Oryzias latipes: one gene and its partners. Each later gene encodes a partner of the first gene's protein in a complex. Links are inferred from orthologs where the notes say so. Each region holds a gene or a part of one and is shown on either strand. Other genes may lie near its edges. The genes, in order: pole3, pole4, chrac1, pole and baz1a.

Region 1 (5,965 bases):
CACAATCCTCCTGTTAATCTCACAGTCCTGTCTTCCCTTTCTTATGAACAAGAACCCAAGATACAAAATTTACCAAAAGTATTCGCTCATCCATCCAAATGATCAGAATCAGGTGTCCTAATCTCTTGACCTGGCCTTAGTCCAAGTACAGTATGCAGAGAGCGTCATGGAATGGTTTCCATGGCTGAGCAGCTGCATCCAAGCCACACATCACCAAGTGCAATGCAAAGCGTCGGATGCAGTGGTGTAAAACACTCCGCCACTGTACTCTGAAGCAGTGGAGACACCTTCTCTGAGGTGATGAATCACACCTTTCCATCTGGCAATCTGATGGACGAATCTGGGTTTGGAGGTTGCCAGGAGAACGGTACATTTTGGAATGCATTGTGCCGAGTGTGACATTTGGTGGAGGAGGAATTCAGGTGTGGGCTTGTTTTTCTGGTCTTAGTTCCAGCGAAAGGCACCGTGAATGCTTCAGGATACCAGAAACATTTTGGACAATTCCATGCTTCCAACCTTGTGAGAACAGTTTGGAGCGGGACTGTGCACCAGTGACCAAAGCTAAATCCGTAAAGACATGGAGTCTGGTGTGGATGAATTTAACTGGCCTGCACAGAGTCCTGACCTAAACCCGATAGAACACATTTCGGATGAATTAGAGCGCAGACTGAAAGCCAGGCCTTCTCCACCAACATCAGTGTGTCACCTCACCAATGCACTTCTGTAAGAATGGTAAAAAAATCCTAGAAACACACTCCTCAACCTTGTGGACAGCTTTCCTAGAAGAGTTGAAGATGTAACAGCTGCAAAAGGTGGACCCACATCAAACTGAACTCTATGGGTTAAAAATAGACCACTTCAGTTCAAATGTAATATTTGGTAATATAGTGTACTTAATCTCCCTCATTTCTTTTTGCTTCTTCTTTTGTTTAATTTTTTGGTCTTTTTTTCTAGATTTTTTAAACAGGCTCAGAAACCTCTGACCAAAAGTTTTCTTTTTAGTCTAAAGACGTCCTCCTTTAGGTGAGTGGGTTCTTGTAAAAGGGTGGACTTTTCTTCCTGCAGCTGTTGTCTCTCTTTTTCCAGAGGTTTTTGTGTCTGAGTTTTGAAAACAAGCCTTTTCCATGTCTGGGTTCATTCGAAGTCTATCTCGGCTATGTGAGCCCCATCCCGCTGCAACCCCTCTCCGCCGCTACTTCTGTATCTCTTTGTTTGAGAGGGGAACAATAAAAACGACTATCAAACTAGGGGATCTTTTTTATTATTGTCTCGATGAAAATATGAAAGATATTGTAAGGAGACCCGAGCTGGCTGCCTGCCCATCCCACAGCAGCGCACTGTCTGTGCTGGCATAACAAGCCAACGAGCTCAGCCGCCGGAGATCACTATGCCGCTCCGGCGGCAGAAAGCGGCTGTCTGTCTGCCATCCAGCCGCTCACCCAGGGCCACCCTGCGTAGTCATCACCTTTGCTATAGTCAATGAAAACATCAATGATGCAATGCGGTAATATAGGTTTCATTCATATTATTGCTTTAAACCAGTTATCCTGTTGACAGTAAATGTGTAACTTGAAGCATTTCAGTTTATTTCCGGTTGAAAATGCAGGCGTGTAAAAGGTCATTATTGTTTCCAGGAAACGAATAGTATATTATTTTTACCCCTGTCAGGTCACGGGCTCCGTAATTATTCAACCTCAAGTAAGGTCAAGTAAAAAAAACTGTTGTGGAAGAAAGCCTTGTTAAAGCCAACATTAAAAAGACTGTGACAACAGCAATCTTATATCACCACCATGCCAAAACCCGAAAAGAAAAGAAAAGAGCAAGATAGTCTGCCTACAAAAGGCTGTGTTATAGACGCGCACAATTATGCTAACCAAACGGCTGCAACAGATGACTCAATGGAAGCTAACGACTTCACTTTGACCCCCCTTCCTGATACGCCACTGAAGTCCTCACTACTGAAAAGAGGTAAAGCTTCTGAAATGGAAGATCCTGAAGGCATTATTACCAAACTCTCTTTCCTCTTCAATTCAAGATCTGATTCCCTTGAAAAGATAGTGAGGGAGAGCTGTATGAAAATCAAAGGTCTGAAAAAACCCATTGATTTCGTTTCGGAGGGGCTGAAGGAAATGAAAACTAAAATGAAGGAGGTTGACACCCAGGTTAAAATGGGGGAACAGCGCATGGGGTCCTGTGAAAGTCGCATTGAAGAGCTGGAGCGTTATTCTCGAAGATGGAACTTGAGGCCGGCCGGGGTTCCGGAAAACAACACAGAGGATGTGAAAGCTAAAGTCATCGACATCTGCCAAAAAAAACAAAAAAAAAAAACGGAAAAACCAAAACCAAAAAAAAATAACTGTCGTTTCTTCACTTGTGTTCTCTGCTACTTATTCGGACCCCCCTACAAAATGGCGACCGCACTATATAGTGCACTAGATAGGGGTTAGGGCGGTAATTCGGACACAGGTGTTCCTGTTTGTCCCTGTGTGACATACAGTGTGTTTGCAATATTTGTCAATAAAGTTCATTTAAAAAAACTGGGCTTGAACGGAAATGACATCACAAAAGGCGGGAGGTCGCAATTTCTCTGATGACGTCCTTCCGGGAGGTTCGCGGGAAACGTCTCAAAACAAAAACGCGTTTCCGCCAGTGCTTTTAGGCTGAATCTGACAGCACGTGTCCCTTTAGCGCACGTGCGAATCCATTCAGTCAAAGAGGTGAGCTCAGCGCCGAGCAGAGTTGCGTGTTTTCCGCGCGAGCGGAGGAATGGCCGAGAAACCGGAGGATCTGAACCTTCCTAACGCGGTCATCACGCGCATCATCAAGGAGGCGGTGAGTTGGTTACCCCGGGAAGGAGCTCAGAGGGCAAGACGAGTGTCGGAGCTGCCGGACTCACCTGAACGATCGTTACCGAGCAACGGCGAAGTTTAAATGTGTGCAACCAAAACAAAGATGGCGCTCCCGCTGCCTGGACGTCCGTTCATTAAAAGATTAAAGCAGCAGTTTATTCACTAACTTGTATTTTTTGTAAAAACTAATTTAGCTTTTCATGCTATGTCATTCATTACCTACATGATGCAAAAAAAAAGAAAAAAAAAGAAGTCATTAGTTTCCAGCGTACTGCACAGTGGTGTAGTGGTCAGCACTCTCCCCTTACAGTGAGAACATGCTGGTTCAAATCCCGTCTGTGTGGAGTTTGCCTTGTTTGGATGCATGCTGGGGTCATGTCAGCCATCACTGGACTGTAGGAGTGAGATTACACTGAAGCGGTGGAGAAGCATCAACAGAGACAAATAACGTGATGGCCGTTTGCAGTACATGAAAATGACAGTACCGAAAAAAACACAAGTAGCCTCTTTGCCCGAGTTTAACCTAAAAAAAAACCTGTTCCTCAAATTAGTAGCTCACAGATCCTCCATAGTACTATTTAGTACAATACCCCTCAAATAATTAGTTGGTTTACTGTATAGTCTTTGAGTAAATCTATCACTCCAATGTGAGTAGACGTGACACTAACATCACTTAGCAGATTTGAGTTATGATCATTCCTTCATTTATTAGTAGTACTACTAAAAATAGTATTAATACAGAGTATTTAATCCTTAAAACCTGTTCTTATAATAAATAGCTCACCATTGCTTCATAGTACCACTTAGTACTTCATACAGCACTTCTACTGACAATAGTTTTAGTCTTTTCGTTTGTTTTTCTGTATAGTTTTGGACTGGTCCACTACAAGCGTCTACAATCGTTAATGATTGTGAGATCTCAGTTGTGGATTATTAAAATAATATGCAGTGAAATGAGGTGATAGTAAATGTGAGTTCTAATTAGTACTGCAAAGGAATGGTGATCTACTAATTAGAGGAAAAAGCTATTTGCTTAATCAAAATCTAGACCAAAAATCTTACATTACTTTTATGAGACATCAGTATTATGGTTTGATGTACACCTTTATGTGTCTGTGCAGAAAACAGAATTGTGTGACTGTTTGTTTTCCCAGCATGCTTTTCTCTAAACAGACATGTCATTTCCTGCTGCCACATGGTGGCACTGCAACGCTACACCAAAGGAGTTTGCTCATGCGTTTCTCAACAGTCCTGTGCTTTTCAGCTCTGCAGGTTTTTGGCAGAGATCCACCGGCAGTTCCGTGATCCGGATCTCTGGTTCTCTGAACCGTTTGGTTTCTGCCGCCACGGTTCTGATTCTCTAACGCTCTGCTTTCCCACAGCTTCCAGATGGGGTGAACGTATCCAAAGAGGCGCGCAGAGCCATTTCCCAGGCCGCCAGCGTCTTTGTGCTGTATGCAACCTCCTGGTGAGAAGCCCCCCCCCCCCCCCCCCCCCATCCACAAAACTCTGCGTTCAGCACTTTCTGTCCGTAAATAAAGACCGTTTTCTGCTTTTAGTGCCAATAACTTTGCACTGAAGGCCAAACGGAAGACTTTAAATGCTGCAGATGTGCTGGCAGCGATGGAGGAGATGGAGTTCGAACGCTTCCTGGAGCCTCTCAGAGCGGCTCTAGAAGGTCAGACGCACAAACACACAGCCTCAGAATGCTGCTGTCCAACAGCTAACAGTGTGTTCCTCCACAGTCTACAAGAAAGGTCAGAAGGGAAAGAAGGAAGTGTCTGAGCAGAAACGCAAAGAAAAAGAGAAGAAGGCAGACTGTGAGCATGAAAAGAGCAAGGAAGATGAGGAGGGAGAGGATGAGGAAGAACAACGCATGGAGGAGGAGACCGAGGAGGGGGAAGAGGAGGTGGAGAACTGAGGAGACAGACCTGTCCGACATGAGACCGGACTCTGGCTTCACAAACTGTAAAAACTGCTCTCAGAAGGACGGCTTCATTCCTGCAGTCCCCTCTCCATCAGCCAGCGGTTTGGTGTTCCCATGATACACTCTTTTGTAGTTTCAATAAATGTTTTGTATACAAGTAGAACGTACAGGTTCTTGAACCACAAGTGAATGGAGGAGAGCCCTCCAGCAGCAGATGCCAGGGTCATCATACGGAAGTCCTCCAACCACATCAGGCTGTTTGAACTGACAGGTGAGGAAACACCTGACCTGGAACCAGTTCAGTAGACGACGACCCAAAAGCACACGTACCTGTTCGGGGGCTGACCCGGATGGCTTTTAGGTTGTCTGGGCTCGTGGAGGGTTGTAGAGGATCTTAAGGGGAGCACAGGTACAGTGAGGTCAACAATCACCCTGTGATTTAGCAAGTTCTCCCACTTAGAAAACATGGAGGGGTCTAAAATTTCATCATAGGTGCATTTCCACAGTGAGAGACAGAATCTAAAGAAACATTCAGAAATCACCTATGATTTTTTAAAACAATTTATTTGTATATTACTGTGACAAAAGTATTTGATCACTTGAGTTAAACAACTTTAATATTTGGTACAGAAGCTTTTGTTAACAATGACAGAGGTAAACGGTTCCTGTAGTTCTTCACTAGGTTTCTACACACTGCAGCAGGGATTTTGGCCCCCTCCTCCATACAGATCTTCTCTAGATCTGTCAGGGCTCGGGGCTGTCGCTGAGCAACACGGAGTTTCAGCTCCCTCCAAAGATTCTCTATTGGATTTAGGTCTGGAGACTGGCTAGGCCACTCCAGAACCTTGATATGCTTCTTACGGAGCCACTCCTTGGTTTTCTTGGCTGTGTTCTTCGGGTCATTGTCATGCTTAAAGACCCAGCCACGACCCATCTTCAACGCTCTGACTGAAGTAAGGTTACGCCTAATATCTCACAATACAGAGCCCCGTTTATCCTCTCCTTAATACAGTGCAGTCGTTCTGTCCCCTGTGCAGAAAAACACCCCCAGAGCATGATGCTTCCACCCCCGTGCTTCACTGTAGGTATGGTGTTCTTGGGATGATGCTCCTCCTTCTTCCTCCTCCAAACACACAGAATGGAGTTAAGACCAAAAAGTTCTATTTTGGTCTCATCTGACCACAAGACT
Region 2 (5,799 bases), on another chromosome or scaffold:
AGCCGTGGCTGCAGGGTCAAAGCTGCTCTGCTCGTGTGCCAGAAAACCTTCAGAATAACAGAGCAGCGCTTTTTTGCAGGTTTCAAACTAAGTCTGCTGTCTGTACTGTGATGGTAGCGTGCCACCTCCAGGGCAATGTGGGTTAAATTTAGCACAGGGCTGGCTAAAGTCCTGGAATGGCTTGGATTACTTGCTTCTTTTAGTCTGAGTATTAGTGAGCCACTTCTGTTTGGAGAAAGCCATTCAGACGATTACTTGAGAAAACCTGAAATAAGGTCACAGTCAGAAACCCCTTAAGTCATAAATACAGTAGCATATGAGTATAGCACTGCTGTCATTTTGTCCATAAACCTGGAAATAAATAAAAGCAATAACTGATGTTTCAATATTTGCATTTCACAATAAAGAATAAAACGTTCTGGACTCTCTGTGAAGATAAAAAACTTAAATCAGACGACCTTTTGAAGTCTTTTTCTACTTCAGAACCATCCTGGATGGATGAGAGTTTTAATAGACAAAATGTTTTCACTATAAGTTTAACTCAGATAAAATAATGTCACTTGTTTCAACTTTACAATAAACTCATCCACCGAATAAGTAAATGCATGAATTGAAAACTGTCCATTTATAAATCTGAGCGTTATTTCTATAAAATTAATCTAATTTGCAGTTGTCATCGACTGTATAGCATCGAAGAAAAACTTGTAACTAATGTTGAAATGCAAGTTAAAAGCATTTGATGTTCTTACAATTACTTTTGCTTTTTATTAAATATGACAAATAAGAAAAATAATGCAACCTTTAAACAATTTCTAAGCAAGTAATGAATCACATCCAACCACTTTTCACTGTTAAAAAAATAAATTAAAAAAGTAGATAAAATTGCTTTAAAGTTACCTGGATTTTGTGGATCCTTCATCTCCGTCGCGGCCGCTCTAATACCTGACTGTGACCAAACGTGAAGGAGCTTCAGAGGCTCAATCGCTCCTCACAATCCTATTAATGCAGTGTATTAGGGAACTGCACATCATGTTCTCCGGAACGAACTGTCCCTCATGGAAAACGCTGAAATGATCATTTCAATGCCTGAACCGCAGTCGATCACATTTATGCACTAAAGTCTGTTTCTTACTGTGAAATAAAATCAGATGACCTCAGAATGAGGCAGCACCGGATCTATTCTTTTTTTTTTAAAGTCAAATACATGAACACAAAAACATCCGCAGCAAAAGAAAAACATGTGAAAAAAACATTACATCATTTAAAGAAATTATATACATTTCTTTTTTGGTTTTAAATTTAAAAAATGGGAAAAATGAGAAAAGGGGTTTCTGTCCTCGTCATTTATTTTCTTTACAAAAAAAATTAAAAAGGAATAAATCAAGCGAATATATATTTTTAAACATATTTTTAAATTAGACCCCAAAGTTGAGGAGAAGTTATATCTACCTGCAGCCCCCATGTATAGCAATCAAATGCAGTGTCGTTAACAGCCTGCAGGGCGGAGCTCTTCGGAGTGCAAAGTTAAAAAAAACAACTGCAAAGTTTCTTGTTTCTAATATTGGCATTTGAACATATTATCTGTCATTTCCTAAGCATTATTCTATACACAATAATTCTAAAGGAAATAAGAGGCTGCAGAATTGTATTTTGTGTGTCTGAGCAACAGAAAACCAACATTTTTATGTTTATACAATTGAAATTAAAATGGCTAAATACAGTCTGTTTCATTGCAAAACACTTTCCTCTTAAAAAAAGGTAAAGAGTTTAGAGGCAACAGCACAGCAGTTCTGATAAAGTCTTTTTTCTTTTCTTGAGTAAAAAACACATGTTTAAATATAGATGCTCAATAAAATGACCAAAAAAAAGTTAAAGAAATGTCTTCTGACAACATAATTGAAAAATATTTACAGTTTTCATAAAACTTAATTTGCGTTTTCTTTGCAACATTTTAACTTTTTTATTGGGTATGCAAAATTAGGGGCAATGTACAGTAAGGAAACTTTAAATAAAAACAGATTAAATGAAAAAATAAAATACATAATAATCAAAAGAAAAGAGTACCAGATATTTTCAAACCGTTTTTGTCAGGTAGTTTCGGGAGTAATTTTTAAATTTCTCTTTGTTTAGATTGTTGCTTTTAACAGCTTTATATTTAGCTTCACTTTGCTGCCACCTTGTGGACATTTTGTTTATTGGTGTTTTGTTAATTTATTTTTAACCCACTTTTTTCTTTTATCTACTAATCTTAATGAAAAGATTAAATTATATTCACCAAATTTATTTGAAAGAGTCTTACAGCTGATAAACATTTGACTGAGCCACTGAGTTGTCGGTAGTTGGGCGGTAACATTGTTTGAGTGGCAGTCACGTTTGACCAATCATACGGCTTTGTTGTCCAATCTGTCCAATCATTGACTTGAAAGCGTTGGCGGGACCAAAGGAAACTGACCAATAGGGATGCAGTGCCTCTACTAGACCGGAAGCACATGCTGGCGCGCTGCTGTTCGCCTTCGTTTGTTACTTTTATCTTTGTCATGAAGTTAGAAAGCTTAATAAATATCCGCGCGTCTGTTTTTTGATCACTTTTTGGTGGGGGGGAAAATAACTCCCCGTTCAATGGCAGCGCTCGTCTCCTCTACGGAGCAGGAGTCTGACAGGTGCGGGAGTGAGGAGGAGAACCGCGGAGTGGAAGCGGGGGACGGGGGCCAGCAGCAGCAGACGGGTCCCGCCGCACCCGGCGGCAGCCGCCTGTCCAAACTCCCGCTGGCTCGCATCAAAGCCCTGATGAAAACCGACCCAGACGTGTCCCTCGCCAGCCAAGAGTCTGTGTTTATCATCGCCAAAGCCACGGTGAGTCCCTGAACCCGCAGCCCGCTCCGCGAGGAGAAGGTTCGGCCCCGCACGGCACCATGGGATGCTATGATGGTCAGAGGTGATGATGATGATGATGATGATGATGGTGATGTTTCTCTCTTCTTCCTACCAGGAGTTGTTCGTTGAGATGATCGCCAAAGATGCTCTGGTTTACGCCCAGCAAGGGAAGAGGAAAACTCTGCAGAGGAAGGACCTGGGTAAGGCCTGAGGACGCTCCACATCTCTGCATTGTGCTCGATATTTGCCGAACTAGTGAGCATCATTTTCGCAGAGACTTCTGGGAAGTTTCTAGGGCACTGGAGTTTGGAATTGTAGGTTGTGTCCAAATTCCTTCCCTACTCACCAGATAACGCATTCGCCATGTTGTAGTGCTGTCTGAATCTACAATCTCCCAAATCCAGAGTCCTAGAAATTTCCCAGAAGTCTCTGCCAAAAACCAGCGTGCATCAATGCTCACTAGATCAGCGAATATAGACCACAATGCATTGCGTCGGAACGATTTTTGCCAAAAAATGTATTTTTTGTTAAACTATCAACATTTTTATCTTCAGAAGACATAATAAATAATCGTCATAAAACGCTCATATTAATTAGATTTTAACTTTGTGGAATCGATATTTGAAGCAGTGAGCCTGGTCTCCGAATTTCTTTTCAAATCCAGGGCACTACATAGAGCCGCTCTATAGTTTTTTAGTAGTTAGGGGTTAGGGCGGGAATTCAGAAACAACCTATAAATCAAACCAGAGTATAAGTCAAATAATAATGATAAAAAAGAAGAAATAATTATGTAGAAGTCGCACTTTGGGGAGAAATTAATTTAACAAAACACGGTAAAAAATACCAGACATTTCATCTTAAAATAAATAGCAGGTATAGACTGAATATTTACAACTTCACTACTGTAAAAGTATTTAGTTTGATGACAAATAGGAGGAATCTATTCAAATTAGTGAAACATATGAACAGTTGTTCAGATAACCATGACATAAAGAACATGCTAACAAGAGCGGCGTAAGACTGAGCGGCGCTTCTTCACTGTCAGTAACAAACATCTACAGAACACATCTGGCTCCAAACTCTGGATGGCTCCAATATCGCTCGCCATTTCTGTTGCACCGCTCATGCTAGGTTGAGGGGCTGTATGTAAGAGAGTATGTAAACAGAGAACTCTCAGACACGGTTAGGGAATGGGTTGCTATGGCCCAAGGCCCCGCCCACAACTCGCAGGTGAATTTCTACTGAACTCCTGCCACTCTACAGAAAATATGTCCACGAAACAACAAACAAACAAAAAACGGCATCATTATAATTGAAAGACGGTTTTGAAAATGGATCAACAGATGATCGGAGTGGGACAGTAGAATAAACAAATGAACATTAAATTCATTAAAATTCAAACATATTTAGTTTCTTTTTTGTGTTTCATTTGACAAACTTCAGTGGTTTCTCCTCCTGAGTTTCATTCGTTTGTTGTTGTTTTGTTGTCCCTGCAGACAACGCAATAGAGGCCGTAGACGAGTTTGCATTTCTTGAAGGTAAAAAAACCCACGTTCTTTCTGCACATGCATGTTACTGACAGCGTGTGCACAGGAACATTTCATTGACATGTTTGTGCATCCGGTAACTGTATCATTTTTTTCTCTGCAGGCACGCTGGACTAGAGACGACCGGCTTGACGGGCGGCGCGAGCGAGCGAGCGACTTCCTCCGGTCCGTTTGTGCAGAGACAAAAAGCTCTTCTGCTTAAGGACTCGTACATATGTACACTGTTGTGTAAATATTTTTGCTAAATTCACTGAAATAAATGCGTTTGAAACTACCGGTTTATTTCTAAAGTCATTCCTTGCTGCATTGTGGGTAAGGTTGGTTGCCAGCATCTTAAAATACATTTAGAATCGTTTTGATTAATAAAGTTTGAAGGAATTAAATTCTTGAACATTTTATAAAAAGAAAAGAAAACAACAGGTTTGTATTTTCAGACAGTCACAACATGATTCTGATTCATTTCCTTGATAAGTTTGTGTTTTCGGAAAGAAACAACTAAAAACTTCCTAAAAGGGTTCAAATCTAAACTGTAAACACCTAAACCTTTATGTTTTATGGACGCTGGATCCTTGGATGCCAGTACTTTATATTAGCTATTGTGAGTCGAAAGTATATTTGGGCTGAGAACATACATGTTTATGTGAAATAAACAGGCCGTCATAGTTTTTGACTTCAGAGTAAAGTCCTGAAATATTGGAATATTTGTTTTTAAAATGGGAATTGGTTCATTTCAAGGAAACAAAAACTTAAGAAAACACACAAAATGATAGATATAGATAAAACTAACTTAAGACAAGTCATGAACTAATAGTAATATAAAAATTACAGAGGAAAATAATAGAAATGCATAGTTTTAAGTATACAAGCATGTGTAAATGACATCATAAATATAATAATTTTCTTCCATACATATTCTACATGACTCATTTAATAGGATAAATATAGACTTTGGTAAATTGCTTAAGGAATGGGGCGAGGAGGGTTCATATTCCAAATAATAGCAAAGATGATTCCAAAAAAGACAAAATACATAATCACTTCAAGTAATAATAACATAAGGTGCTTATTGATTATGATCAGAAAAGATGATTAAATGAGTCCAGAATTCACGGCTGAACCACATGTGGTTATGATGTTAAATGAATGGTTCATATAGAAAGTTCATGAAACATTCATCCTTCTGGATTTTAATGATTTCCCTTTTATCTGTGAAAGCCTGAGTCAGGTGGAACCGTACAAAACGAACATTTTATTGATAGCAAAGCTGGTGGGATCTATGTGGTCTAGTTCTGCTCAATAAGTCGCAAATTTATCGTTATGGTGATATCTATCTGTGCAATACGCTTATCGCAAAAGATGGCGAAAATCACAATAAGAG
Region 3 (5,839 bases), on another chromosome or scaffold:
AACTGGACAAAAATCGTGATTCATCAATTAAGTCTATAATGGAGTCCCATGTTTTCTTTTATTCTGTTCAGAATGAAGCAGCATCTTGCCAACACAAGGGACAACATCTATGACAGGAGTGCTGTTGCACACCGCCTGGAGAGACAGTTCTCCACTTTAGAGAGAACCCTGCTCAACGCACAACATCGAATCGGCAAACTCTTTATGCCTGCGCTGAAGAGCCCTTACTTATGAACCACTGTATGTGCATGTACGTGTTGATGGATTCTTCAGAGTAGGCTTGCTGTTTGCAACTTCTGTCGGCAGAACACCTAAAACCTGTCATTAAGATCGTGAAAATGCAGCCGATAAATCTTGCTTCATATTGTATTGATTGTGTTAAATACAGAGATTTTGTAGCGTCATTGAACATGACGCAACTGCTCTACTTGTAATTCTGAAAAGAGAAAAAATAAAAGAAAAAAAGTTCAATTCTTTTCCTTTTTATGTACATATGTAGATTTTTTTTCTTTTTTTCTGAGAAATATAAATAAAGATGTAATTTACAGCTGACAGTGACATTATTGTATCCTCAAAATTGAATACAAACAATTTCTCAACATTCAGAAAATTTTTATGAGTCACTTGGACATGAAAAAAGTGGGGTTTTATTTTAAAAAATGAATATACATAGGGGATGTTTTTAAGATAAAAATATTCCCCATCTACTGATGGGGTTTGGGACACATCTTCAGCTTCTTCTACAATATGCAGACATTTGTTACCATAACCACGTCGTCTTATAGGTGGTTAAGTCATGTCAGATTACGTCTTAGAACAGGACATTAATGCTGGACAACAAAGCATTTGTGGAGTTGTGTTTTAAGGTGGTAGCGAATGTTTTTGCCGCAATTGTGTGTAATGGATTTCCAAGTTTCACTTCAAGTCCATGTACATATTTTACTAAAGCACGGTAGAAAATATGAAGCCAACTATCAAAGCCAAATAAAATAATCTTTGCTAAAACCGTAAACTTACAGCCAAGTAGATTTGTCTGACGCTGAACAGTGTGAATAGTAACATTTGCTTAAATTAATTTCAGCCATTCTTAAAAGACATTGTGTGGCATCTATAATTGAAAGTCTTCATTTCTAATCTTAGAATTATCTTAGTTTAATATTATTTCCAACAAAAAAAAACAACAACACATGAGCTGATCTTACTTAAAAGCAGTAAATGTCTTTGGGAAAGCCCCTTTTGAGTAAAAAAATATTCAAACAGATTAGCTTATTCCTATAAATCCGCATCTTCCTCTTGCATCTGTTCCAAAGACTTCAAGTAATCCCGAGCCAAGATCTTCTTGGGCAAAATATCTGTCAAATAAGAGAGAAAAAAAGTTAAAATCCACATGTTAACACCTTCATTACCCATCCTTCTAGGGTAAAAGCCGAATGCCTTCCAAGCCATTAGCTCCCTACACATGGAAGAATATGCACCATTTGAGAAAAAAGCAAAGACTCAGTGTTTTGTGATTATCTGTACTTAATTACAAATAGGGATTCTGTTCCCACCCATAATGCAGTTATTAATGGCTTAGAAACCCTGTCCAAACTGTGGATACCCCTAAGACATGAGTAGTGTAATACAGGATTAAACTTTAATACCCCCCCCCCTAGAATATCAATTATTAACTTAACAAAAGGTATACTATCTTAGCTTTAATAAGTTTCTGTAATGTTTTATTAGGATTTCACATTAAAAATGTCCTAGTCAGTTAGGGGGGTAAAGTTCTTGAAAAATTATTTTATATTGTCATGAGTTCAAAGAAGATATAAACTAGCACAGAAATGAGGACATTTGTGTTTTGTAGATTTACTAATTGACTGGTTTACTAAACAAAAGTCTTATAACTGCCATCTTGGTTGACCTGCTTTGCAGCCTGTCTCTGACATCTCTAGTCCTATCAAACTTGACCTTTAGTTTGGAGATGGTTCCGGGCTTGTTTTTGTTTTGTTGTTTTTTTTATAGAGGAAAAAAAGCTTCAAGTTGCCCTCTTGCATGATCTCAACAATCAACAGATCTGTTCAAATGATTACAACAGAAACCAACGTGTCATTAAGCAAGACCAATAACCACAGGTGCTGCCAATTATGCACCTGTGGTTACCTGAAGCTCAAAATAAGTCAGTAACAACTAAGACAATTAACGATTAATTGACTTTATAGATAAATCCATTTATCTTCCTATGATCCAACCAGATTGATGCATCTGGGGCAGGTGGTTAAGCGAATTGATCTATGCCATTATAAAATAATTTTAAAATAAAATAAATTGATAATATACTGGTATTGGAAAATACCATTTGGATTTTACATTATCATATAATGTAAAAATGACTGAGTGGATTGTTGGAAATGATCAAGCAATCATTACAGTCCAATGTGTGGAAACAATTTGATTTTTGCAAAGATGTGTGGCCATACAGAATGGTATGATGTTCTAATAATGTATTATTTTGATGTGGAAAAACAACAGTGGGCAGAACTTTAGGGAAAAAATGTGAATGGATTTGCCCTTAATTCTTGTTTACTTCTTTGTTTAATCACATATGTAATTTATAATACTTGATTACCTTGCAAGAAATACAAGGAATCTGTAAAACTACATCGCCGAGTCACACTGGTTGAAGATTTGGCTAAAGAAGTCAATGAACCGGATTGTTCAAAATGAACCAATATCCACTACGAACCACTTATTATGATATGAATTGAATCATTGTTGAAATGTTTATATGAGCTGTTATGTGAGGTGTGCAGTTAATGTAAGCTGTTTAGCTTTAAAAGTGAAGTTTTGGGAGGTATTGTAAAAGTCCAACTTTTAGACTGACACACAAACGCATCTTCTTCAATATGGCATCGTGTATGGGTTTCCAACACTTTAAGAATAACTCAATACAAAGGGATGGAAGGTTGGTGTCTCACCTGTGAGAAAGTGGAAAGTCTCGGTCTCTTCTGCGGTTTTCGCCAGGTCGCTGTATGACAGCGAGTTCGATTCCTTCCCACAGCCGTTATTGAACGAGGACCGAGCCAGGTGCTGGACGAACAGCTCCTGCAACAACACAACCAAGAGAAATGCTAACGATGCTAGACACTCGAATGAACGGAGCTAGCATGAAACTGCAGCTTACTGTAGCCTTGGTGGTGAGAAAGAGAGCGTCTTGGTTGATGCTGGAGACATCTGGAGAGCTTTTCATGATCAACCGGACTCTAGAGATGGGCAGAGAGATTGTCTTTTTAGCGTCTAACGCGGGGTCGTCTTTTTCTGGACGGTTTTGCGACATTTTTACGAAGCTGTTGCGCGACACAGACAAGCAGAACCACAACTATTGTTGTGGATACGCTGCTGGTTTCTTCCTCGTGTTCATTTGGTGTTTGTCAGCTTTTCAGATGATATAGCGCCATCTACTGGAATGGAGTGGAGTCAAACTTTTTTCTTTTTCTTTTTTTTAAATCATGGATTGTAAAAACAACAATGTAGCTCATTAATATTTCTATTGCGCTTTGATACTAGACTTCAAGTGGTATAAAGCACTACTTAATAAACACCTGTTAAGCTCTTGTGTTTACACCACTGAAGCTCCCAAAGGAATTTTCCTAATTTTCTTCCTTCTAATGCCTAGTTTGTATAATAAACAACTACCATAGAAAAATGATTTAAGACTTTCTTTGGCAAACTGATTACATTTAGGGATGATGTTGAGCTGATTCAGAAATTTGTACGGTGTTGCCATGGAAACCGCCATCAGAATAACTGACCAAAAATATAAACGCAACACTTTTGTTATTGCTCCCATTTTTTAATGGTATGAACTCAAAGATGTGAAACATTTTCCACATACACAAAATAACCAGTTCTCTGAAATATTGTTCACAAATCTGTCTAAATCTGTGATAGTGATGAGCACTTCTCCTTTGCCAAGACAATCCTTCCCACCTCACAGGTGTGCCATAACAAGATACTGATTAGACAGCATGATTATTGCACAGGTGTGCCTTAGACTGGCCACAAGGAAAGGCCACTCTGAAATCTTCAGTTTTGTTTTATTGAGGGGACTCAGACAACCAGTCAGTCTCTGGTGTGACCACCATTTGCCTCATGAAGTGCGACACACCTCCTTCGCATAGAGTTGATCAGGTTGTCTATTGTGGCCTGTGGAATGTTGGTCCACTCTTCTTCAATGGCTGTGCGAAGTTGCTGGATATTGGCAGGAACTGGAACACGCTGTCGTATACGCCGATCCAGAGCATCCCAAACATGCTCAATGGGTGACATGTCCGGCGAGTATGCTAGCCATGCAAGAACTGGGATGTTTTCAGCTTCCAAGAATTGTGTACAGATCTTTGCAACATGGGGCCGTGCATTATCATGCTGCAACATGAGGTGATGTTGTTGGATATACGGCACAACAATGGGCCCCAGGATCTCGTCACGGTATCTCTGTGCATTCAAAATGCCATCAGACGCCATCGCATGTGAGCTTTTGCCCACTTAAGTCGGTTACGACAACGAACTGGAGTGAGGTCGAGACCTCGATGAAGACGACAAGCATGCAGATGAGGTTCCCTGAGACGGTTTCTGACAGTTTGTGCAGAAATTCTGTGGTTATGCAAACCGATTGTTTCAGCAGCTGTCCGAGTGGCTGGTCTCAGACGATCTTGGAGGTGGACATGCTGGATGTGGAGGTCTTGGGCTGGTGTGGTTACACGTGGTCTGCGGTTGTGAGGCCGGTTGGATGTGCAACAGAAACAGCTCTGGTGGACATTCCTGCTATCAGCATGCCAATTGCACGCTCCCTCAAGACTTGCGACATCTGTGGCATTGTGCTGTGTGATACAACTGAAGATTTCAGAGTGGCCTTTTCTTGTGGCCAGTCTAAGGCACACCTGTGGAATAATCATGCTGTCTAATCAGCATCTTGATATGGCACACCTGTAAGATGGGATGGATTGTCTTGGCAAAGGAGAAGTGCTCTCTATCACAGATTTAGACAGATTTGTGAACAATATTTCAGAGAACTGGTTATTTAGTGTATGTGGAAAATGTTTCACATCTTTGAGTTCATACCATAAAAAATGGGAGCAATAACAAAAGTGTTGCGTTTATATTTTTGGTTAGTGTACATTTTTGCCAAAGTGAACATCCTGGACAATAGGATAGTGGATTTTTTTTTTTAAGGATTTGGGAGTTCACCCAAGCTACAAACTGTGCAGGTGTCACAGCAACATGACTATCTGTACAAAAAAAAAAAAGAAAACAGTCCTAAAAGGAGCTAGAGCACACAAAACAAATAAAAATACTGCTTAAGAAGGTCAGAACTGTTTTGAGCTGTCAATTAAAACCTGTAACAGAAGACAATAGAACATTAAATTGGCCCAATTTCCCCATACAGTGCACTTTTGAGGCTCTGAGAAGCTTGTACTGTGACAGACTGATCCATCCATTAAGGCTTGCTTCCAAGACCAACTCCCACTTCTCCAGGGCAAGAAAACAATTAAACGTAATACCAACTCCAAATTGTAAATTTCCTAAAGTTATTTGTACAGTTCTGTTTACGATCTTTCTTAAGTACATATTTATATTAAAAATGTTTATGTTTAAAGGAAATTATAGATATGTGGTGTATATAATTTTTACTTGTTTATAGTGCTGTTATTTGCTATGTTGTTCTTGCCCTCTTCTGCTTTTTGTTTAAGAGGATGTTTTCCCATTATCGGTTCCTTCCAACAATATAAACTTCTTTCCTCATTTTGTCACAGCCCGTAATCTGTTACATAGAAAGTTGTCAATCAAATCGGCCAAT
Region 4 (5,940 bases), on another chromosome or scaffold:
ATTGTCTCCATTTTTAAAGTGTTGTGAAGTTGAATTAACAAATCTGTTCATAAACGTTTGGGCAAAGTATTCATATTTGCAACTCATGGTATCTGCTGTTAACAACTGTGAATGAACCTAGCTCAACAAGCTAAATCTTACAGTGCACAAAAGCATATAGGGACCTTCTTCTCTTTAAATTCTTTTTTTGTATTGTTTTGTTTTTTGTTATCTATTTACAAAATAAAAACTAAGGTTAAGTACCAATATCATTGTAAGATTCATAAAAAATGAAAAGAATAGCAGTGTTATTATTTTCTGAGATGCGTCACACATTTGCTGGCTGCAGAATCTTATAAGACATGTACTTGTGAATAAAAATACTTCCTTAAGTCAGATTTATAAATCTTTTACATCTACATTATTGTGTTAAATGAGGTGGAATAAGCAAGGTATACTGTAATAAGGTCACAAGTGTATCAGAGAGCCACACATGCAAACCCAAAACTGATCTAATGAATCATTTCAAAGACCAGTGGAGTCTGGGGGGAAAAAAAAGCATTCAAGGAAAGTTCACGCATGAGAACGTCAGCCGTAATTTATACCAGTAAATGAATCTTACTAGAAAACAATGAAAGTACTGCATTACCAGGTATTTAATTTGATGTAGTTAATACAGTTATGCAATAGTCATAATATTCATTAAAGTTACTAATTGACAGTTTTTCTGTCACATAATCATTTACGATTTTAAATTAAGTCAACATTTTCTAATGGCAATATTTTAATTTACTACATTTTTTTAAATCAAAATAGTTAATAGGCAAATATTTACTTGGCTTAAGATGTAAAGAACTGATAATGTTTAATTTAGGGGACCTCATGACCTTGTTGTGGCCTTTAATGTATTGAGACAACTTGACGTGTTACATTTGTGTCCCTTGCAGTTCAGATATAAGCACATTATTATTTGGACAGCGAGCAGAATGTGAACACAGAAACAGCTTCAGAGGATAGACATTTTAAGTGCACAGTGACGAGTAAAGAAACGATTAAAAAGTGTAAGATAACACCCTCACATCAGCTTAAACATTACGTAGGATTAAACAGATTTACACAAAGTTTCTATAGGTATGTGGGGTTAACGGTGCCAGCGGGTCCTGGCAGGAGACATTCCCCAGCAAGGCTCCAGTAAACAGGCTGAGAGGAACAGCTGCCATCGGAGCTGAGGGTGGCTCCTCAATGCAGGCTAAAGGTCAATACTGAGGGACAGAATGTATTTTGTACTGAAATGGAAACATCCATGCAATCAGCCTTTACAAACATATGGATGCACACGAGAAGAACTGTAAAAATGATGGGCTATACCATTTGCAGTTCATGCACAACAAATTGGAATTTCTTAGAAAAGTATCTCATTGAATTTCTAGTTTTAAAAAAAAGGAAATATTTATGGTTTTATGTCAACTGGAGGAATATGTTCCCTAAAAAATACATTAACATATTTTCTTAAAATACTTTTTATGATTCAGAGTTGTGTCCTTATATGTAAATTATTTTTTAAGCATTACAACTTATTTGTTAGTATGTTTCTTTCTATTTGACCTTATTACTTAAAAAGATAATATTTAGAGTATAAAAATGTGACTGATGCTTTAACAAAGCTGGGAATTTGAATTAAGGAACAAATGACTTGTTTATCTAACAGGAAATGTGCAAATATGAAATACATTCGAATAGCGCAGGAAACAACATAATCAGCTACGATCTGAAGGCTACATGCGGGTCAAGGCCACCTACCACAACCACTGCACGTTGTGTCATCCACTCACCGCCGTCCAACACCTCCTTCAGCAGGTTATAATAACACTACAAATGCACATGAGAAGGAGGGGCGGGGTTACAGTGAGGCTCCTCCCAGGAAGAAGAAGAGGAAGAAGAAATCTCCAAAGATCGCACATTTGTCAGAAGTCACACTCCATTTCTCTTTAATTCAAGTCAAGAACAAAACTAATTGTACAATCACTGAAAAGCGTCATAGGTCCACTTTTTACCACCTCTTTATTGCAAATTCTCTCGGAAAATCTGAATGTTGTCAAAAAAAAAATCTTAGTCATAAATTTCCTGGTTTTACATAAACTCATTATTATTAGCGTTTTCATTGTTTTTATCTGAAAGATAAATATTTTTTCTTGTCATAATATGAACTGTAAAAGCCAAATCACCCGAAAGGAAACATTGAAACAACGAATAAATTAGGAGTGAATGTTCTCTTTAATAAACGATTGTTTTCACTGAGTTTTGGTCTCGCGATAACAGCAAGAGCGCGCCAAAGCAAGAAAAACACAAACCCTACCTGCAAAATTGCCGAAGGAACCAGGAACATAAACTTCAAGCGTCTAAACTTATCAAATGTGAATTATTCTACCATTGGAAAAAGACTACTCGTTGACATTATTTTTAGTAGGGAAAACTATTACATAGAAAATGGTTCTTCAAAATAGTGGACGTTACAGGACGGACCGCGGACCGAATGGAGGAGACCAGGAAAACCAGTGAGTGGCTTTTTCACCAGGCAGCTCTTGATTTATTGTTTATCCACCGACAAAGTATGCTATTAGGCGGAAATAAAAATGCTATGATGCTTATGTGTCTAAACCAGGGATGATGGGTCCTCGATGTCGGCCCTCAAGAGGCTGGAGCGCAGTCAGTTCACCGATGACATGGACGCTCGCTTCGGATTCGACAGGATGAAGGAACCGGGGGAGAAAACCGGGTGGTTGATCAACATGCACCCAGTAAGTCCACTTCTAGTCTGCCGCGATTTAGGGAATGGTTTGGAGAGGACACTGACTGTTTTTCATTTACAGACAGAGATCCTGGATGAGGACAAAAGAATGATCAGCGCTGTGGATTATTATTTCATCCAGGAGGATGGAAGCAGGTTTAAGGTTAGTGTAACCTTTAAAAATAGATTTGATTATTCAAATATTTAGTTTAATATTTACCTTGTGATATTTACTGTCTGTAGGTGGCCCTTCCCTTCAAGCCTTATTTTTATATTGCTACAAAAAAGGTACATTTTTTTAACTTAGTTTAGCATCTTTTCTGTGTAAAGAAAGAGCATAATCGGGTTTTGTTATTCCTAGAACTGCGAAAGAGAGGTCATATCATACTTGTCTAAGAAGTTTCAAGGCAAAGTGGCCAAACTTGAAATGCTTCCAAAAGAAGATCTAGATCTGGTGAGTTTAAAAAAAAAAATCAATGTGGATTTGGTTTTAATCAAGTCAAGTGGATTAAAAGAAAAAAAAACACCTGCTTTACCCAGCCAAACCATCTCGTTGGACTGAAGAGAAACTACATCAAGCTGTCGTTCAACACCGTGGATGACCTCATCAAAGTCAAGCGGGAGATTGCTCCTGCCGTGCGCAAGAACAGAGAGAGGGAGCAGTCGCATGATGAGTACACCTCCATGCTGTCGAGGTATCAACAGCTCCTCTAAGCTGATCTCCCGTCTTAAGATGAGTGTGATGGAGACGTTTCTCTGCTTTGTTGTTGCTTTAGCGCGTTGTCTGGAGTCGGTGTGACCACAGCAGACGAGGACGGGATGTCAAAGAGCATCGTCGATCAATTAGACAATGTGGTGGACATGAGAGAGTATGATGTGCCTTACCATGTCCGACTGTCCATCGACCTTAAGATCCACGTTGTAAGAAGAACTTGACAATAAATTGTATTTACTTTTTGGACATCTGGCTTTGCTTCATTTAGTGTCTCTACTTCGTTCAGGCTCATTGGTACAACGTTCGCTACAGAAGCAACGCTTATCCCCTAGAGATTATCCGCAGGGACGATCTTGTGGAACGACCAGTAAGAAGATTTTTATATTCCTTTTTTAAAACGGTATCTGTAAATAATTTCTGCTCATACAAAATAACATTCTGGGGTCTTTAGTTCATAAGTTTCACAGAAATCTTCTTACAGGATCCAGTTGTTTTGGCCTTTGACATCGAAACCACCAAACTTCCTCTGAAATTCCCAGATGCAGAGAGTGATCAGATTATGATGATCTCCTACATGATAGACGGGCAGGTGTGTTCAACTTCAAATGGTTTTTTTAACAAATTTAAAAAAAAAAATCTTTCAAGTTGTGTTGTTTCACACCAACCCCTGTTTTATCTCCTCAGGGGTTCCTTATTACAAACAGAGAGATTGTCTCTGAAAACATTGAGGATTTTGAGTTCACCCCCAAACCTGAATATGAAGGGCCCTTCACTGTTTTCAATGAGGACAATGAGGTTCGTAGCTCTCACATCGTAATTATAACAACAGTTGCAGGTCTACAGGTCCTTGAAAAACATACTGTTTCTTTTCATTGGCTGCAGGCTGCTCTCATACAGAGGTGGTTTGATCATGTTCAAGAAACAAAACCAAACATCTTTGTGACGTACAACGGAGACTTCTTTGACTGGTGAGTTTGTGTGTCAGTATATGCACAGAATTTTGAGGAATTTCTCAACATGGTTGTTCAGCTGCACGAAGACCAGAGCGGCCAGATCAGGCTCAATAGCGACCTTTCAGACACTTTCCCCATCATCAACGGCGTAAAACAGGGCTGTGTCCTGGCACCCACTCTTTTTACGATCTTCTTTAGCATGATGCTAAAGCAAGCCACTGATGGCCCTGATGACGAGGATGCCGTGTACATTCGCTACCGCCTCGATGGCAGCTTGTTCAACCTGAGACGACTGAAGGCTCACACCAAGACCCGTGAGCAAATGATCAGTGACCTCCTCTTTGCTGATGACGCAGCTCTCCTAGCTCACACCCAGAGAGCACTTCAGCGACTAACTTCCTGCTTTGCAGATGCTGCCAAGCTCTTCAGACTTGAAGTTAGTCTAAAGAAGACAGAGGTCCTCCACCAGCCAGTACCTCGGGAAGTGTACCAGCCTCCCCATGTCTATATTGGAGAGACAGAACTAAAAGCTGTCCAGCAGTTCACCTACTTGGGGTGCACAATTACCTCAGATGCCAGGATCGACAAAGAGTTAGACAACAGGCTCGCCAAGGCGAATAGTGCCTTTGGCAGACTCCACAGTCGGGTGTGGAACAACAAGCACCTGAAAAAACCCACCAAGATCAGTGTATACAGGGCAGTTGTGGTGACCACCCTTCTTTCCGGCTCTGAGTCTTGGGTCACTTACCAGCACCATCTGCGAGTCCTCGAACGTTTCCACCAGCGCTGTCTACGCACCATTCTTGGCATCCATTGGAGCGACTTTGTCACCAATGTTGAAGTCCTCGAGAGGGCAGACATCCAAAGCATAGAGGCCATGCTTCTTAAGTCGCAACTGCGGTGGGCTGGGCATGTACACAGGATGGAGGACCACCGACTGCCAAGGATCACTCTGTATGGCGAACTTGCATCAGGCCAGCGAGATAAAGGGGCACCAAAAAAGAGATACAAAGACTCTCTTAAGAAATCCCTTGGTGCTTGTAACATCAACCATCGTCAGTGGTCTACTTTGGCAAAAGACCGTGACACCTGGCGCCAGTACATCAAAGACGCTGTCTCCTCTTTTGAAGACAAGCGACGGACTAGGCTAAAAGACAAACGGCAAATGAGAATAGCCGGCCTCACGACTGCACCGAATCCAGAACAGACTTTCACCTGCAGCCTCTGCTACAGGATCTGCCTTTCCCATATTGGATTGCTCAGCCACGAGCGAGCTTGTAGAAGACGTGGACAGCCCTCTTCATAATCTTCGTTTACGAAGCCTCGCCATGATATGCACAGAACATTCTACAATCTGGTTTTTGGTGTGATTTTTAGTGTCGTGTAACACTCCGATTATAAGAAGATCTGATGTTTCATCTGAATTTAGTTTTTAAAAATGGAAGAAAATAGGCAACTAAAACTTTTAATGCAAATCATTTTGACTTGTTTTTTTCTCTCTAGGC
Region 5 (6,006 bases), on another chromosome or scaffold:
TGTTGCCTTTCTTTAGCAGTGGTTTCCTAGCAGATATTCTAGCATGAAGGCCTGATTCACACAGTCTCCTTTGAACAGTTGTTGTAGAGATGTGTCTGCTGCTAGAACTCTGTGTGCCATTGACCTGCTCTCTAGTCTGAGCTGCTGTTAACCTGCCATTTCTGAGGCTGCTGACTCAGATGAACTTATCCTCTGCAGCAGAGGTGTCTTCCTTTCCTGGGGCGGTCCGCATGTGAGCCAGTTCCTTTGTAGCGCTTGATGGTTTTTGTGACTGCACTTGGGGACACTTTCAAAGTTTTCTCAATTTTTGGGACTAACTGACCTACATTTCTTAAAGTAATGATGGACAGTCGTTTTTCTGTACTTAGCTGCTTTTTTCTTGCCATAATCCAAATTCTAACAGTCTATTCAGTAGGACTATCAGCTGTGGATCCACCTGACTTCTGCACAACACAACTGATGGTCCCAACCCCATTTATAAGGCAGGGCACACCTGTGAAGTGACAAACATTTCAGGTGACTACCTCTAGATGCTCATGAAGAGAATGCCAAGAGTGTGCAATGCAGTAATTAAAGCAAAAGGTGGCTACTATGAAGAACCTACAATATGACATATTTCAGTTGTTTCACACTTTTTCCTTATGTATATAATTCCACATGTGGTACTTTACAGTTTTGATGCCTCAGTGTGAATCTACAATTTTCATAGTCATGATAATAAAGAAAATGAGAAGGTGTGTCCAAACTTTTGGTCTGTCCTGTACATGTTAAGTGATTGCTACAACTCGTCTCTCCCAGCATGCCTGTAGAAAGAATGCATAAACATTTTCGCCCTTCATTGAGTGGTCTACGGGGGCCACTTGCATTTCCCAGACGACCATTTTTCGCCCACAGATGGCCCGTATCCACCCGTAAAGGCAGGTGGGACTAAGACTTCACCTGTCAACACTGATTTCATGCCCAAATTCCGGTTCATCCTTCTTCCAAACAAGTCCAGAGCTTCTCAAAAACAGTCGCCTCCTCTGCTGTGTCCAGGTTCTCCATGCTGATGTTTGCACCCAAGATGTTCTGCTGCAGAACGCAGATGTGCTGATCATGAACAATGTCTTTGAATTCTTCATGGAGCCCAGCGAGCAAGTCAGGTGGAAACACAGAGTGGCACGAAAAAGACAAAAACAAAAAAAAAAAAAGCTGCATGTCTTCTAAAAAGAGCGTTCTTTGGTTTCAGAGCATGGACTTTTATCATGCAGAACTTCAGGAGGGCAGGATGTCTGCTGGTTACTGTCCCCAGTCTGCAGGAGAGTCTGAACCATCTCCAGGTAAAACCAGCATCACCCACACCTGGTTGATGTCCTCATGACATCGTCCTCATCAAGATTTCTTTGCTCCTCTCCAGATTCAGTTGCAGCCGGGATGGCTGGAGGAGCTTCCTGTGGATCACAACGTCTATCTGGGAAAAGATGCAGACCCCGAAAGCCTCGCTCTGATCCACCTGTACAGGGTCATGTGATCGAGGAACGTCATACCTCAGACACACCTGTGCCAGGTCATGTGAACAAGGAGTATCCCACTTGTTGTTTATGTGACAAAGGACAGCCACACCTGTCTGGGGTCAAGTAATGACAGGCAATCACACCTGTTCAAGGTCATGTGACTGAAGACATTCACCCTTCTGGTTCTCCTGTGATATAGACAGAGGACAGTAACGTGTGCAGGAACAAGTGACAGAACCTGTGTAGTATCATGTATATAATTGGCTGATGTAGTCATTTGTGCAGATGTGGTTACCTGAAGACAGACACTCAACAGATCACATAAAGTGATTTATATATAATGCAAATTCAACTGATAAATAAAGCTGTTCTCTGTCTTCCATGCAAATTCTAGCTCATTATCTTCTTTGCAGTAAAAAAAAGACTAATTTTACCACACTTTTCTGGAACAATTCCTCCATTCTCCGTTTTTTATGTAAATAAAAGGAAAAAACTAAATGGGTCAGTGTTCTTGGATTCGAGAGAAGTGAAGAAGATCATGCAGGTCAATATTTTTTTTATCCAGTTCATTCATTCATTCATTCATTCATTCATACAGAGCTGGTGTTTTTCTGGAGACATCCTGTAGGGGGCGGTAAAGAACAGGCAGGTTTCATGCACTCTACCAAAGTAGTAGTAGAAGAAGAAGAATGAGTCTGAAGTGGGATAAAACTTCGTCAACAAGCCGCCAGTGAGTCGCCTCAGCCCGCGACTCTTTCTTTTATCTTCGCACCGGCGGGAGCCGTTCCATCGTAGCTCATTTTGGTAAAACATTTATATTTTTAAAAAAGTTCCAGAAAAGCTTCTTATCGCGGATTTGAGCCGCGTGCTGAGCGTTTGGCGTGGAATTGGGTCATAACCGAGCGCGTCGGCTCTCACGTTCAAGAGGAACACATCCATGCGGGCAGATTATCGGCGCGTCTAACAAAAGACTCGCTCCCCTCCTCTTCCTCACTCCGCCGCGCTCAGACTTCGGTTCCGTTCGGACGCTCCGCTTTCTTGTGTCGCCGCAGTTCGGATGTAATTGTTCGATTTTCCCTCCTTTTTTATTCCAGCGCAGAAGCGGAGCTCCCGAGATGCCGCTGCTCCACAGGAAAGCCTTCATCCGACAGAAGCCTCCGGCGGACCTGCGGCCGGATGAAGAAGTGTTTCTCTGTAAAATCACCCACGAAATCTTCCGGACCTACGAGTGAGTAGCCGCGAGGCCACCGATAACCGCGGCGGGGAGTTCGTGAAACTTTCTGTACTAACTAAGCTAACTTTTTTTTCCGGCTGGAGGAGGAGGCTGTTGCGGGTGGGGGGTGGGGGTTCCCTCCGCGGGTCAGGTGTCTGTCTGACCGGCCGGTGGGGCAGGTGGCCGGTTAGGGCAGCCCGGGTTTGTTGGCAGGAGGAGGAGCCGGGAGTTTTGACCGGGAGTGAGCAGCGACGCCGCCTGAGTGTCAGCCGCTCGTTAGCCGTTAGCAACCGATCCGGCTGTAGCCGCCGAACGCGCTCGCGCCACGGCGGTAAAAGTCGTTCCACCATTTAGAGATGCTAAGCAGGAAAATAAATTCCGAAAAAAATCTCCTTTCTGAGCCACATTTTCCCTTTTACACACTTATTTTTGAGTTGATGTACTTTCTCAGGAGTAAAGCTGAAGAAGATGGTGACACAAAAAACGACCTGCTGGGTTTTCGCTGCTTGTTTATCAGAACCAACCATAACGTTCACTAAGTGTTGTTTTCAGTGATAAAAAGCTTTAATCACGTGTCATTTCCGCTGTAATCACGCCGAAACGCGGTTATTACAGGATTTAGACCAAAGCTGCGTCTGTCTGGGCGGATTGTCTCTTTATTGGAGTCGAAAGGTTTAATCTGCCGATTAAATAATAAACCAAAAAATACAAAACAAGTTTTTCTTCCCCTGTTTTTTTGTCTTTGTTTTGCTTTGGCGTTTTTCTGTTTTGCTTTTGCGTTTTTTCATTTAGTTGAAACATGTTTTGTGTTGCCAATGTATGAAAGTGCTTTTTAAACAAAGTTTGATTTGAATCAAAAACCTTAAATTCTCATCTTGGGATTAAATGTCTCAGGACTGGAACTATTAAAAAACAAAGTAAAGTCAGTGTAAAAACATTTTTTAAAAAAAATTAAAGGTATGATTTTCTCTTAAAGCTGTTTTCTTAATAGCAAAAAAAATCATACTAATTGTTGATTGAATGAAATAAAAATGTTCATATTGTTATACGATATCTTTATTGTATGAATCTACTTGATTTTGCACTTAAATTCGTCTTTGTAAAATATACAATTACATTAAATTAATTTAATGCAAAGTTATTTATTGATCATTTGCTCCACTGGTGACATTTATTTCATAGTATCCAATACTTTCTTTATTGCACCAATGTGATCTCATTTACTTAATTCTTTTATTGTTAGAATTCTAAAATGTTATTTTGCTTCTAAAACCAATAATTTGCACTCTCGGTTGGATGTTGACTGTATTTCACACATGTTCAGTGACAAAGTAAAATACATTCTAATAATAATAATACCTCCTGAAAAATGGCACTTTAGATTAAATTTTGTCAAATCAGTCGTCAAAATAATCGTGTTAAAAGAGAAACTGTGAATTTCTGGACCAGAATTGCGTCGATTTAGTACTTGGCCCTCAAATCCTGAGAGTTGGTGCACATTTACTGAGTAGTGAACAAAATCCAGCTGACGTTTGTACTTGTTTCAGTTCCACTCCAGAGATCCAGACTTTTTATTTAACTTCGTAAGACCCGAACTTTAATTTGATGCCATTTTTATTTTATTTTTTAAACTTTCACTAGACCTGTGTATGCCAGGTCGATAGAGGTTAAAGTGGTTCTATTTAAGTTTCTACGATTTCTCAATATTAGCCCTTTTTCACGTATTTTACATCCTCACAGTGTTTCATTTTTGGATGATATCATTTTTTTTTCTTTAAGCTTTAGTTAAAGACAGTTCAGTGTGACAATCCATTTAGGAACTCTGAAAGGTTTAAGATGCTGACATAGAAGTCAAAGAATATGAGTGAAAGTGGAGAAATCGGCTTCAGTAAATAGTTTGAGCCGATTCTAATCTTCGGATCAACTTTTGTCATGTATGCGGATATCCACACGTGAACATGTACCTCCCTTCCACAGTGAGTTCTTCGAGAGGACCATCCTCTGCAACAGCCTAGTGTGGAGCTGCGCGCTCACGGGGCGAGCGGGCCTCACCTACTTGGAGGCGGTGGAGAGCGAGCAGCGCGCGCGGCAGAGCCTGCGCAGCTTTCCTCGGGCGCTGCTGGTGCCCCTCCTCCACCTGGCTGCGATGAGCCAACGCAGCCGACTGGTGGAGCTTTGCGAGGACGTCTACGGTTTCGTCAAGGACCGCTTTTTTCCCGGGGAGGTGGTGGAAGTCAGCCGGCGCAACGGGGCCAGGTACGCACTGGGGAAGTGCCGCATCGCTTTTCAGGCTGCACAGTTTTCATAGTAACAGATGCTGCTTTAGTTTCAGTTCACCGTATTTGTCGGTTTGTGACTGAAAATTATAAAGAAATTGGTGTTCTTGTTCTTTAATCTTTGTGTTTTTGGGAAAACTTTTTTTTTTTTTGTTTGTTCTTGTTGTGGTTGGTAGTTTGACCTCCGAAACCTCGGCACCGACACCGAACTGAATCTTGTGTTCCAGGCACATGTGTGAGATCCTGGAGGTGCACTCGCCTTACTCCAGCGCCAACGGAGTGGCGCCCACCAACGGAGCAACGGGCACCAACGGCCACACCGACCCATCTCAGGTGGACACCATCGTCATCAGTGACAGCGATGAGGAGGACGACGCCTTCCAGAGTCCCGTCGTACACGTCAAAGGGTCAGTCAGGCAGATTCTGTGCTGCTATAAAACTCTAAAACCAGCTTTGAAAAATAAATGTTCCTCCTTATTTGAGTTTCGGTTAATGAAATGAGAATCAGATGCTGGTTTGAGTTTGAACTCTGCGTTTGTTTTCCAGGAAAAAAAAGCCTTTGAGTCCTTCTGTGTTCAAATACACCGTGAGGATGATGAGTGACAAACACAGCGAGCCGTTCACCGTCAAAGCCAATCAGATCAGGTGAGGAGCTTCACCTGGAGTTTGTTCTGCCGGTTCAGAGAGGTTCTGTGACCACCGATCCAAATGCAAACTAGGGTTTGCAGTCTGAATGGTCTGGTTTTTGGTAGGCCTGGGCGAAAAATCGATTGGATGAATTAATTAGAATATTTTGTTACAGGCGATTTAAAAAAACAAAAAAAACAACGAAAAACTCAATCGACTCCTGCTGCTTCATCACCGCGATGATCAAAAATCCCACACCGTCACAGCTCAAGTTAAGATCTTGTGGGACACATTTGCAAATGGTACCCATATATACCGTGGAGAAGACGAGGGTTATTAGTTTAATTAAAACCTTAGCCCCCAGATATGAATTGTATTGTTTTAGAAAATGGTGCTA

What was found.
Region 2: pole3 (region 1) and pole4 share a complex: the UniProt entries of both Homo sapiens proteins name them as parts of the DNA polymerase epsilon complex. The link is inferred for Oryzias latipes from reciprocal best matches to the Homo sapiens genes POLE3 and POLE4.
Region 3: pole3 (region 1) and chrac1 share a complex: the UniProt entries of both Homo sapiens proteins name them as parts of the CHRAC ISWI chromatin remodeling complex. The link is inferred for Oryzias latipes from reciprocal best matches to the Homo sapiens genes POLE3 and CHRAC1.
Region 4: pole3 (region 1) and pole share a complex: the UniProt entries of both Homo sapiens proteins name them as parts of the DNA polymerase epsilon complex. The link is inferred for Oryzias latipes from reciprocal best matches to the Homo sapiens genes POLE3 and POLE.
Region 5: pole3 (region 1) and baz1a share a complex: the UniProt entries of both Homo sapiens proteins name them as parts of the CHRAC ISWI chromatin remodeling complex. The link is inferred for Oryzias latipes from reciprocal best matches to the Homo sapiens genes POLE3 and BAZ1A.

Annotation. Positions count from the first base shown.
Region 1 is NC_019861.2:5,685,402-5,691,366, reverse strand, and holds pole3 (DNA polymerase epsilon subunit 3), read left to right. Parts: upstream 1-2,567; 5' UTR 2,568-2,766; coding exon 2,767-2,832; intron 2,833-4,231; coding exon 4,232-4,317; intron 4,318-4,408; coding exon 4,409-4,527; intron 4,528-4,594; coding exon 4,595-4,770; 3' UTR 4,771-4,936; downstream 4,937-5,965. UniProt on the Homo sapiens protein: Accessory component of the DNA polymerase epsilon complex. Participates in DNA repair and in chromosomal DNA replication.
Region 2 is NC_019862.2:30,739,390-30,745,188, reverse strand, and holds pole4 (DNA polymerase epsilon subunit 4), read left to right. Parts: upstream 1-2,447; 5' UTR 2,448-2,619; coding exon 2,620-2,853; intron 2,854-2,989; coding exon 2,990-3,074; intron 3,075-4,370; coding exon 4,371-4,412; intron 4,413-4,524; coding exon 4,525-4,538; 3' UTR 4,539-4,695; downstream 4,696-5,799. Other genes in the region: serine/threonine-protein kinase NIM1-like, read right to left, coding at 898-919. UniProt on the Homo sapiens protein: Accessory component of the DNA polymerase epsilon complex. Participates in DNA repair and in chromosomal DNA replication.
Region 3 is NC_019869.2:23,125,583-23,131,421, reverse strand, and holds chrac1 (chromatin accessibility complex protein 1), read right to left. Parts: upstream 3,407-5,839; 5' UTR 3,320-3,406; coding exon 3,167-3,319; intron 3,088-3,166; coding exon 2,961-3,087; intron 1,353-2,960; coding exon 1,273-1,352; 3' UTR 598-1,272; downstream 1-597. Other genes in the region: uncharacterized protein LOC101165652, read left to right, coding at 72-234. UniProt on the Homo sapiens protein: Forms a complex with DNA polymerase epsilon subunit POLE3 and binds naked DNA, which is then incorporated into chromatin, aided by the nucleosome remodeling activity of ISWI/SNF2H and ACF1.
Region 4 is NC_019867.2:13,280,826-13,286,765, forward strand, and holds the start of pole (DNA polymerase epsilon catalytic subunit A), read left to right. Parts: upstream 1-2,289; 5' UTR 2,290-2,466; coding exon 2,467-2,534; intron 2,535-2,641; coding exon 2,642-2,777; intron 2,778-2,849; coding exon 2,850-2,930; intron 2,931-3,010; coding exon 3,011-3,055; intron 3,056-3,128; coding exon 3,129-3,221; intron 3,222-3,307; coding exon 3,308-3,462; intron 3,463-3,543; coding exon 3,544-3,688; intron 3,689-3,768; coding exon 3,769-3,849; intron 3,850-3,963; coding exon 3,964-4,071; intron 4,072-4,166; coding exon 4,167-4,277; intron 4,278-4,364; coding exon 4,365-4,450; intron 4,451-5,938; coding exon 5,939-5,940. UniProt on the Homo sapiens protein: Catalytic component of the DNA polymerase epsilon complex. Participates in chromosomal DNA replication.
Region 5 is NC_019880.2:2,516,123-2,522,128, reverse strand, and holds the start of baz1a (bromodomain adjacent to zinc finger domain protein 1A), read left to right. Parts: upstream 1-2,101; 5' UTR 2,102-2,297; intron 2,298-2,587; 5' UTR 2,588-2,608; coding exon 2,609-2,721; intron 2,722-4,683; coding exon 4,684-4,962; intron 4,963-5,209; coding exon 5,210-5,389; intron 5,390-5,528; coding exon 5,529-5,627; intron 5,628-6,006. Other genes in the region: uncharacterized protein LOC101160205, read left to right, coding at 1,036-1,142, 1,229-1,319, 1,397-1,510. UniProt on the Homo sapiens protein: Regulatory subunit of the ATP-dependent ACF-1 and ACF-5 ISWI chromatin remodeling complexes, which form ordered nucleosome arrays on chromatin and slide edge- and center-positioned histone octamers away from their original location on the DNA template to facilitate access to DNA during DNA-templated processes such as DNA replication, transcription, and repair.